Linked DNA regions of Rattus norvegicus. The protein of the gene in region 3 interacts with the protein of the main gene of each other region in a pairwise test. Links are inferred from orthologs where the notes say so. Each region holds a gene or a part of one and is shown on either strand. Other genes may lie near its edges.

Region 1 (3,651 bases), on a different chromosome or scaffold from region 3:
CTGTTGGATATTGGTAGCATATGCCTTTAATCCCAGCATTTGGGAGGCAGAGGCAGGTAAATCTATGTGAGTTAAAGTCCGGACTGATCTATAGAGTGAGTTCCAGGACAGCCAAGGGTACAAAGTAAAGCCCTGTCTTGGAGGAAAAAAAAAAAAAACAAAGTAAAAATTAAACCTCGTTTCAATTTCCATATTTCATATACTTTATATATATATATATAATTTAAAAGTTCTATAAGAAATGCTGAATAATCACTGAAAATGCTATCATCAAAATTCTCCCAGTTTACTCACATTATTGACAATACACTACATTTACTACAAGAACACTGGAGCCTAGGATTTTAAAATACCAAGGCACGAGATGATTAAGTGTGAGAATATTTTAAAGTTTTACCCGCATCATTTCATTCTCTAGTTGCTTCTTGCGATGCAGACGCTGCTGATGAGACTTCAGGACGTTCTCTACGTGTTGCTCCATGAAGAATTTAAAGGCCTGCGGGGAGTAACTCTGAATGCGAGACTCTCTTCGCTCTTCGTCTTTCTTGTTTTTCCGAACAGTGATAGGTGAAGTTGTAATCTGTTTCTTCTCTTTATCCCCAGAGTCAACACTGTCCAAACTCTTTTCACTATCCTCTTCCTTGGCTGAGCTAGGCTGATCGTCTTTGCAGGGTTTACTCGCTGACTCATATGGAGGAACAGATGGGGTTTGGTGTAGCAGATGTTTTGGATAAGGTGGTGGTGGGCCCTGATAGCTTGGAGCTTCCGCCACAGGTGGGATGACTGGCACGTTTGAAGCTGCACCCTCAGAAAAAGGGCTAGGCTGAACGGTCTGAACTGGCTGTGGCATCCAAGAAGGATGGGTTGGGGCTAAGGCAGTCTGCAGCTCTGGTTTCAGAACGCGCATGCTTTTCACGGGCTGCTGAATAGGAGCTGGTGTGATGGCAGTAACTGTCGTGGCGGAAGGCTGAGAATTAGCAGAGTGACTTGCTCTACTTCCTAGTGGGTTATTAAAAGAATTTGACCTCACTGGTATGTTAGGTTGCCACGTAGGAATTTCATGCCCACTGCTTGGAGATGATTGCACAGGGGCAGAAGACGACTGGGGCCAAGTTGTTTGCAGTCCAGGGACATTGATATTATACAGCTCCATGTTATGACTGTTCCTGTTCGGCACCATCATCGTTGGAGGAACATTTCCATTGGAGAATGATGGTGGAGCAGCAGGACCGCCTGCTTGCAAAGCAGAAGGGCTTTGTCCATTAGCTGGGGTCAGAGGATATGGTGGTGGTGGTTGCCGATTCACAGCACCAGTGGGGACAACATTTTGGTGCATGATAAAATCAGTCTGACCACCACCATTCTGAACTCCAGGTCTCCCTGGTGTAAAGTTAAATTTGCTAGTACTTTGCATGATGATTGGTTGCCTGCCAACTGGAACAGAACTGATGCCTCTCTGTCCCTGGTTGGGGGGATTCATGGGGGAAGTGTTAAGAGGTGGTGGAGGGTAGCCCTCCTGCCACGCCCCAGGTGGAACAGGAGAGATTCGGGAGATTACATATTCCATGTTCCCAGAGTAGCGCTTTGTCTGAGAGTTAGGCTCCCACGAGGGGGGAGGGGGAGTTGTGCCTCGTGGAGGTGGGGTCTGCCCTCGTGGAGGTGGTGGAGGAGTAACACTCCTAACTTGAGGTGGTGGTGGTGGGTTCACTCTCTGTCCATTGCTTGGGTGAGCTTGAGCAAATGCCGTAATGCCGGATCCAGACAGAGGTCTTCCTACATCCGCCTGTGAGTTGGGACTTTCAGATCGATAAACCACATTTTCTCCTAGAGATGGACCGTGTCTCTGAGGAACTAAAGACTCTTTAGAACCTTTCCAGCTTTGTTTTCGGCTAATTGAATGTTGCACATTTCCTATGATTAAAAAAGAGAGAATAGTCATGTTTTTAACCTCTCCTTTAAAAATAATTTATCTCAGAATTCCAATACTAATGATACTCAAGTTTAAAACTGTAGAAAGGGGTTAAGTCAAGAGATAAACATTACAACATGTAGACTGTATAAACAGTGTATTCTTGGGCTGGAGAAATGGCTCAAGGTTAGGAGTGCCTGCTGTTCTTATAGAGGACCTATGTACAGTTCCCACCACCAACATGGCAGCTCACAATGGTAACTTCGGCTCCTGGGGATCCAACACCCTCTTGAGCTTCACAGGCACTAGGTGCCTAAGTGCATGAGAAGCAGAGGCAGGGGGACCTCAAATTCAAGGCCAAACTAGTCTACACAGAGTTCCAAGACAGCCAGAGCTGCATAGTGAGACCCTGTGTCTCTATAATTCATGATGAACTAGAAACTGAAGAAACCCGAGATCTTCCCCCACCGACAGTGTGATTTGAACTATTCTCTTTAATGTCTTCAGTCTGTCCTAAGAAAAACATCTCTGAAGAGTTGTCACACTTTTGCTTCTTATCAGTTCCAGCTATAATTATGGTCCGATGAATGGATAGCAATAAATCATTCAAGCGTTATGTGCCAAATTGTACCTACTCCAAAATCATTCAGTATTCTGAAGTCCTAATGCTGCTACCTGTCCCTGACATGAGTAACACATGAATAAATTTTGCTTGTAAGGTTAAACGATATTGCATTGTGTTGAACTAAAGGGAAAAAAAGTATTCTCTTGTAAGTCAATGGCAGAGAGAAACATGACTGAAAACAGCTCTAAGTACAACATATACTTACTAGTATGTGTAAGACCTCAAATTCAATTTCCAACACCAAAAACCAAACTACAAACCCCACAAAAAATACTAAACAGGGGAAATGGCTTAGTTGGCAGAGTGCTTGTAATAGCACCCATTTAAAAGCTGGGTGATGCACAGGAACCTATAAACTGAGCACTGGGGAGATGGAAATAAAAGAAAGATGCATGGGGATTGCTGCCCAGTCAGTCAAGTGAAATTCGTGAACTTAAAGTTTAGTAAGAGACATTGTCATGAAATACAGGGTGAAGAGCAACTTAGGAAGATACCTGACTGTCACCTCTGGCCTCCAAACACATGTGCAACTACACATTACCACAAATACATACATGTGTCTAAACGCACGCACACACCAAGACAAAGCCATTGAACAAATTCTCGATAGTGTTCAAAGCAATGTGAACATAAAATGAGATAGAGCAGGACATGATGGTGCACATCGTTAATCCAGCACTTGAAGGCTGAGATACATGAATTTCTAAAGTTTGAGGCCAGTCTATTCTAAATAGTAAGTTCCAGGACAGCCAAGTCTTCAAAGTAGATAGATAGGTAGATAAGCAGGCAGGCAGGCAGGCAGGCAGACAGATGGACAGAGGTGAAGAGCTCTTGGAGCTGCTTCTAGAAATTTGGCAAGAATTTGACATTTGGCTAGGACAAGGAAGTAGGCTCAAGATGAATATAGCTGAGAAATATGTTCTTTGTTAAGACCCTGAGTACAGCAATCATGGGACCTTTGTTTATGCTTTGTTTGTTCCTAAACTACTCTGTTCTACTCTGTTTATGCCTTAGGAATGACCATATTCTTTGTATGTACCTAGAATGATATAAAAGTAGACTGGAGAAAAATAAACACACTTCGGCTTTAGATCTGTTTGGAATCATGTTATAATGT
Region 2 (3,651 bases), on a different chromosome or scaffold from region 3:
GCTGTTTTAGGTTTTCACGCAGCCTCGTCAGGATCTCTTGTGTCTAAGCCCTGCCAACAGAAAGCATACCATTTGTTCTTTTCTTCCGTAATTGAAGCCAGAGCCTGTTGCTTGTACACAAATCGATGCATAAAGGGCATGGCATTGTTGCCTGCCGGATCAATAGTCCCATGTCAGCACTTGTGCAGCTCCTTCAGAACTGTCGTCAAGTGGCACATGATACCCACCCAAAAAATGTAATTTTTTATTTTTCTATTTCAAAGTTTAGTGTAGTGTGATGTAGAAAGATCAAGGACTTGAAATCATACATAGGTTGAATTCAAGCTTTGGGCTTTAGGGAAGTCACTAGATCACTGTATTCTCTTTAATATGTGCATGAAATGGTTCTGCAGATTCAGATGACAGTGCTAGCTGTCTTTGTTGATGGCTTTGAAGCAATTAGTGGATAGTTAATGGGAGCTGTTAACAATTTTGAGTTTTGCCAATATTCTTTTCCATTACATTTTGAGTCCGTTTTAAAGGAAAATATAACATGTCTATATGAATATGTATCATATAGAACATTATGTTAATGTTTTCTCGGATTTTTTTTTCTTTTTTTTTCTTTTCGGAGCTGGGGACCGAACCCAGGGCCTTGTGCTTGCTAGGCAAGTGCTCTACCACTGAGCTAAATCCCCAACCCCGTTTTCTCAGATTTTTATCTCTGTTAAATGTATGAAATATTTATTACTCTGTGGTCAGAACAGTTAATTGAATGTCTTATTTGCCTTTATATTTTCATGACTTCAATTTTAACACCTGACCATGAAATGTAAGAATTTTCTCAATATTCCCCGTATTTGTCATGGTTCTTGGTAATTTTCCACACAGTGTGGTTAAGGTGCCATGAATAGCCTCAACATGAAAATACTATAACACAGAATGCATTTGTTCTTTCCCTAGTTCAAATTATGTTTTAACTGATGAGCAATCACTCTGGATTGAAGATACTACCAAGTCAGTCTACCAAGTAAGTCCAACATGCAACAACCCATGATTGAAAAAATGGAAATTTAGAATTTTCTTTGTTTCAGCCCCAAATAGGAAAATAAGGATAAAGTTAAGCTCAGGTACAAGAACACAAACACTTCTTGGTTCTCTGCCTACAAACCACTCCTATGATGCAGAAAGTTGTTGAAACCTTAGTATATTCTTTCTAATCACAGCTGCTATCTGAAAATCCCCCTGATGGAGAAAGATTTTCAAAGATGGTAGAGGTATGTATTTGATCATTAGTTTTCTTATTACTGAATTATGATTTCAAAATATTGTTATGCAGAGATGTCTCTTGTTTATCCTAGCATATATTAAACACTGAAGAAAATTGGAACTCATGGAAAAATGAAGGTTGCCCAAGTTTTGTGAAAGAAAGGTAATAAGTTGATTGAACACAGGATAAGTTGGTGTTATTGAAAATGCTGTGTCTGTTTGCCCTACAATGCAGTTATTTTGTCTTCTGTCTGATAAGTGTTCTATCATACTATGAAGCATTTATATTTTAGGGTAAAAGAAATACTTAGCTCCCAAAACTTACAGTTTTGCTGTAAGTAGAATTAAATAAATACAGGAGCTTGTGCACATTAGGCAAATGCTTAACACACATCCATATACAGTCCCCAGAATATGAATGTTTTGTTCACAGAGCATCAGATACCAAGCCCACAAGAGTGGTACGGAAGAGAGCAGCCCCAGAAGACTTCTTAGGCAAAGGGCCCAATAAGAAAATCCTGATTGGAAAGTATGTTACTCATTTTCCTATGTTCTTGATTGCTATTTGAAAATATTATGAATAGAACTCTCCAGTTTGGCTGAGGAGATAGCTCAGCTGTTAAGGCTAGGCTCATAACCAAAAAGACAGAAACTCTGTACATGAACTTGTATTTTGTGTGTGTGTGTGTGTGTGTGTGTGTGTGTGTGTGTGTAACTAAAGCTAACCATAGCCCGTTGCTCAAAACTGTCATTATGTGAATTCATGTAACTACTTAAGCCTTCCTGTTGTCTCCCACTTTGAAAGCCCTTGGCTTTAGGCTCTGCCATCTTTTCTGTGTCATGGACAGTACAACTGTCTGGGCCAGTGCAGTTCACTTATATTTACTGAAAGGGTACTGATCATTCAGGTCTGTCACCTTTCAGTTAATCCTCCATTCTTCATTATTATTGAATAGTTTCTGAGAAATGGTTATAATTATATACTTACATAGAAATGACTATCACCACCCCCAGACCCACTACTTATGTTACATATGCAGTTTTATGACATACTGTGAGGATGCTATCAATACAAAATTATGTCTGCCTTATTTTGTAGTGAGGAGCTAACAAGGCTTTGGAATCTCTGTCCTGATAACATGGAAGCCTGTAAATCAGAGACAAGGCAAGTGTAAAACTTTTATTAGTTTTCTCAATGTTCAGTGAAGTATAATAAAATCTTTCCTTAGGAATGATCAAAGCTTAAAAGTTTATTGTGGTTAAATTTGGGCCTGGCAGAATATGGTTTACTTTAAAACACTTAAAAATGCTGATAAATTTTTAGAAATCATAAAAAAATAAAAGTTTCACAAAGAAATGGGAACTCAACACCAAAAGAGTAACTTAGTTAGGGTTGACTTGGTATTCCAAGAGAGTAAGCAGTGAGGTGGTCCAGTCTCACAGAGATACTCACAGAGATACGCAGAGATGCAGGAGACGAGCCTAGGTTTGGTCTCCTGACTTAGGAGACGCCGCCCGCAAAGGAAGGGAAGCAGCGGAAGGCAAGAGCAGGACACACTTCCCTGGAAGTGGAAATGGAAACCTTTGGTTTCCTGAGAAACAAGAACATGTCATGTAGCTCACATTTCCAGGACCAGCCGCAATTGGGAACCCAAAGCTAAAATTGTCAGCTAGGAAATCGTAGGCTGGTGGTAAAACCTGTCTGAAGGTCAGACCTCCAGATGGAGCTCTTAACACAGGGAAAAGCCTAAAAAACTTATCATCCAAATTTACAGTCAAGGAAACAATCTACCATGAGTTTCATAAAGAATCAAAAGAGATGGCTCAGTGGTTAATAATGCTGGCTGTTCTTCCAGAGGACCCGAGATCTATTCATCACACTCATTCTCTCCAGTCCTAGGGGATCCAACACCCTCTTCTGGCACCAAGGACACAAGTGGTACACAGATGTACATGAAGACAAAATACTCATACATACTCATAAATAAGTAAATAAAGCTAGAATCAGGTAAAGGCTGTAGAGTTATTTTTCAGATAATTAAGAAGTAGCAGCTAAAAACAAGAAAAACTTGGCACTGTCAAAAAGACCAGATAATCAGATGTGGTGGTAGCTCATTACTGTAATCCCATCAGCTGGAGACTTGTTAAAAAATAATACAATACAGAGTTGAGCAAAAACCCAGCAGAGAGAACACATGGGTGTGAAAGAAGCACTGCTTAAGATCAGGACGAAATAGTCATAATTCATAAATTTCGTTCAAGATGTCTATGTATGTGAAAAATGAAGGATGAATGAAAAGAGAAAACAGGTTACAAAAGTAAAATTAAACTAACAGCAGGCTTCAGAAACAAAATCAGAAGACAGTGGAATAAGAGCCTCAAAGAACTGTAATAACAGTATGT
Region 3 (4,085 bases):
ATAAAGTAGTCAGTCCTCTTGTCCCCCCCCCCCTTTTTTTTTTAAAGTCTCTGTTCCACCACAACTTCCTGAGACGAGACCTGTGAAGAAACTGCAGTCTTAGGTCAGCCACTAAACAGCACTGACAGTCTTGTAATAAGAGAAACCGGTGACTCGTTTTACGTGTCAATCAGTTGGAGTCTGCTGATCTGATTAGAAGCCTTGACAAATGCCTGGTGGCGATTGCAGATAATTGCCAAGCATATGGGAATAATACAGTAGCCCACCGTTTTAGGATCCGCTCTCGTACAAGAATAAAGGAACAAAAACATCTGTAAGTACGGTATCAAGAAAATAACTGTCCACAACCAGAAGGGCAGGGAAAGTAACCGAGCTTTCAAGGAGTGTGTCCATGTGGTTCCTTCCCTTGGCTCCTCAGGGTGCTGCTGAATGTGTTCCAAAGCCAACCTGTTGTAAGTCTCATTGATTTCAAAAACATAATAAAACGCTGCTGCACTTGCTAGCAAATACAATCCCACTCCAATCCATCCCATCCGCTGACGGAAGTTCATCATTCTCCATGCTCTGTGCCTTCAATGTAAACACAGGAAAATTATAGTTAGGGTCTAGTAATGGTGCCACACCAAGTATTCCAAGTGCACTTGATTTAACATCTGTAAACAACTTATAGGTGGTTTTATATAACAATTGTGAGCACATAAAAATACTGGTTTCCGTATATATTGAGTACTGTTATTTATGAGAACCCCAGAGTGAATGAATCATCACATCTTGCTTGAGTAGACCCAGTACACTTTCAGATAATGAAAACGAGTTTCCCCACAGGACATTGCACTTGACAGTTGAAATGCTTTCTGGCTTAACACTATTATTTCAGACATGAGCACTGGGTTGGGTTCTGCTCATTAAACCAGTGTCGGAGTCCCCAAGTTAAGACGGTAACTCTTTCAAACACTTACAGTGGTCCCGAAAATCTTGCTGTTCCCCCTGCAAGCGTGCAAGAGTCACTCAGTTCTGAATAGTCAGGTGCCTTTGGCATTTCAGAACAAGCCACTTAAGAGAAACCCTCTCGGTCGCGCAGAAGAAGAAGGTGAGCGCGGCCGGCGGGAGCACGAGCTAGTAGTGATTAAGCTCAGCGTGACTCCGGCTAGTCACGCGGCGGCGGGCCCGGTCGCCCTCTGGATCTCCAGGCAGGGGAAACCACCTGGAGATGCCTGGCCACGGGACCTCCGGGCCCGCCCCCCACAGCTCCCGCCGCCGTGCCTGGGCTGGGCAGTGGTGCCAGGCCTGGCCTGCAGAGCCCGGAGCTCGGCTCCCGGCTAAACGCCGGGCCAGCCTGACAGCCAAGCTGAGCAACCCGGGTCTCACCTTCCTGTCCTGAGTGGCCCGCCCGCTCGCAGTCCCGGATACCGCCGCAGTCAGAGCTTCCGTCTTGGGCCGGAAACGCGCGCCAGTCTCTCGTGACGTCAGGCTGTCTACTTCGCGCCGCCTCCGGAGGCGGTTGTCTGCTCCCTGGGGCGTTTGCGGCGGTGGCGGTCTCCTACCATGGCGGGGAAACGGGCGTAGGGAGCCCGTGTCCTCCATCGCCGCATTGGGGACGTGATCCCCTGGTGTCTCCTGATGCCCGCAAAGGTCAGACGCCCTCTCCGGAGCCTGAGCGGTGCGTCTGTAGGCAGGTGGTCTGCAGACCTCATGTGGTTCGTATATGAGCGCAGAGGGTGGGTAGAGGAACTGCTCAGGAGTCAAGGCACCGTTAACTTACACGGATGCTCTGTTTTCTCAGGCTCCTGGACCTCTGCGTATTAGAGAGACGAGCACGCACATCTCTGAGCTGCGGTGGGGCGGCGGCGGTGCCCTGGTCGAGTTAGGATTTAAATACCCTGGACACCATGACACTGAGACTCTTAGAAGACTGGTGCAGGGGGATGGACATGAACCCTCGGAAGGCACTGTTGGTTGCCGGCATCCCTCCGACCTGCGGAGTGGCAGACATCGAGGAGGCCCTGCAGGTTGGCCTTGCTCCCTTAGGGGAGCACAGACTGCTTGGGAGGATGTTTAGGAGGGATGAGAACAAGAATGTAGCCTTGGTTGGGCTCACAGTAGAGACCGGCAGTGCCCTAGTCCCCAAGGAGATACCTGCAAAAGGAGGTGTCTGGAGAGTGATCTTTAAGCCTCCAGATGCTGATAGTGACTTTTTATGCAGATTAAATGAGTTTTTAAAGGGAGAGGGCATGACAATGGGTGAATTAACCAGAGTTCTTGGGAATCGGAATGACCCTCTCTGCCTAGACCAGAATGTGATGATCCCTGAAATTCGAGCACCCATGTTAGCACAGGCATTAGATGAGGCTCTTAAGCCTACCCTGCAGTATCTGAGGTACAAAAAGCTGAGTGTGTTCTCAGGCAGGGATCCTCCGGGACCAGGTGAGGAAGAATTTGAATCTTGGATGTTTCATACTTCCCAAGTAATGAAAACATGGCAGGTGTCAGATGTAGAGAAAAGAAGGCGGTTGATGGAGAGCCTTAGAGGCCCAGCATTCGAAATTATTCGAGTCCTCAAGATAAACAACCCGTTCATTACCGTTGCAGAATGCCTGAAGACGCTTGAGACAATATTTGGGATTATTGATAATCCTAGGGCCTTGCAGGTCAGATACCTTACTACTTACCAGAAGAGTGGTGAAAAGCTCTCTGCCTATGTTCTGAGGTTGGAGCCTTTATTACAGAAGCTGGTGCAGAAAGGAGCAATTGAGAAAGAAGTTGTGAATCAGGCCCGACTAGACCAAGTCATTGCTGGGGCAATCCACAAGTCAGTTCGAAGAGAGCTTGGACTGCCAGAAGGTAGCCCTGCCCCAGGCTTATTGCAGTTGCTGACACTGATAAAAGATAAGGAGGCAGCAGAGGAAGAGGTCCTTCTTCAGGCCGAATTAGAAGGACATTTCACTTGACCCAAGACCAGCAAGGCTGTCATGAGCAGAACATGATGGAGGAGCTCATAGAAGTGATCAGCCCATCCCCCTTTGTGCTGCCAAAGTAACTTGCCCTTTGTCGTGTTGTTCACCCCACTGAATGTCTCCCCAGTGTTTTACTGATACAAATGATGTCATTCTACACTGGTAATTATTTAAATCAAAAGGTCATCTAGTACAGTGTTCTGCAAAGCTGGAGTTTATATGCATGTTTAATAGTCTTATGTGATGGTGCTGTCCGTTAAAAATAATTTTCAGGTGTTGCCCACATTTATGCTGAAGACCCCGAGCCAAGGCTAGCTAAGTTATTTAAAGTTTCTTTATTATAAATCAGTTATTGATTCTGTGCAATCAAAAATCACAACTGAGTGCTGTGGTCAATTCTACAACTATCTTTAGGTTTGTGATATATCTGATGTGTTGCCAAAGGGTCTGCTTCTAAATGTCATTTTCTTAGAGTCATAGTATAAATAAAGAAATGCTAATAATAAAATGTTTGATCTTTGTATACCTTGGGGGTTCCAAGATAATGCATTTGATAAAAAATAATTGTTTTTGAGACAGAGTTTCTCTGTGTAGCCCTAGCTGTGCAGACTTACTCTGTAGATCTGGCTGGCCTCAAACTCAGATCTGCCTCCTGAGTGCTGGGTAAAGGCTTGCACCACTGCACCTGGCTGAGAGAAGCTTTTATAGTACGAATCTGAAAGCCACTGAGGTTACAGGCTTAATTCTTTGGACTCTTGGTACCTAGGGGGTAGTAACTTGATTGTTTGACAGGAACCAGACTACACAGATTATGGCAAGTAGTGGGCCCATCAATACTCATTTCAAAGGGAGAAAGGAAAGATGAATTTTATGTTTTTCTAATCCTGGTGCTATATACCTATAATCCCACTGCTTAACAAGTAAAGCCAAAGTCAGGAAGATTGGCCTTTCAAAGCCAGCCCAAACTACAGGGTGAGACCTTGCCTCAAAAGACAAAGTTCTACATATAGGGAAACTAAAATCACACTGGGGAAATAGGTGTATGTCCAAGATGAATGAAGCTGGTAGTAATAAAAGCTGTTCTCATTCTTGCAAGGCTGGTATTCTCTCCACTGCTAAGGGAGGAGCTAC

Evidence for each region.
Region 1: the proteins of Moap1 (region 3) and Lats1 interact in a two-hybrid assay, tested with the Homo sapiens proteins (2 studies listed by BioGRID and IntAct). The two-hybrid records come from large-scale screens. The link is inferred for Rattus norvegicus from reciprocal best matches to the Homo sapiens genes MOAP1 and LATS1.
Region 2: the proteins of Moap1 (region 3) and Thoc1 interact in binary tests that used the Homo sapiens proteins (3 or more experiments, as listed by UniProt). The two-hybrid records come from large-scale screens. The link is inferred for Rattus norvegicus from reciprocal best matches to the Homo sapiens genes MOAP1 and THOC1.

What each region holds. Positions count from the first base shown.
Region 1 is NC_086019.1:3,997,672-4,001,322, reverse strand, and holds part of Lats1 (serine/threonine-protein kinase LATS1), read right to left. Parts: intron 1,912-3,651; coding exon 398-1,911; intron 1-397. UniProt on the Homo sapiens protein: Negative regulator of YAP1 in the Hippo signaling pathway that plays a pivotal role in organ size control and tumor suppression by restricting proliferation and promoting apoptosis.
Region 2 is NC_086036.1:1,284,145-1,287,795, forward strand, and holds part of Thoc1 (THO complex subunit 1), read left to right. Parts: intron 1-942; coding exon 943-1,009; intron 1,010-1,205; coding exon 1,206-1,256; intron 1,257-1,340; coding exon 1,341-1,411; intron 1,412-1,681; coding exon 1,682-1,777; intron 1,778-2,347; coding exon 2,348-2,413; intron 2,414-3,651. UniProt on the Homo sapiens protein: Component of the THO subcomplex of the TREX complex which is thought to couple mRNA transcription, processing and nuclear export, and which specifically associates with spliced mRNA and not with unspliced pre-mRNA.
Region 3 is NC_086024.1:127,646,761-127,650,845, reverse strand, and holds Moap1 (modulator of apoptosis 1), read left to right. Parts: upstream 1-1,521; 5' UTR 1,522-1,660; intron 1,661-1,783; coding exon of another isoform or gene 1,784-1,806; 5' UTR 1,807-1,889; coding exon 1,890-2,948; 3' UTR 2,949-3,457; downstream 3,458-4,085. Other genes in the region: Lyset (lysosomal enzyme trafficking factor), read right to left, coding at 159-570, 960-1,039.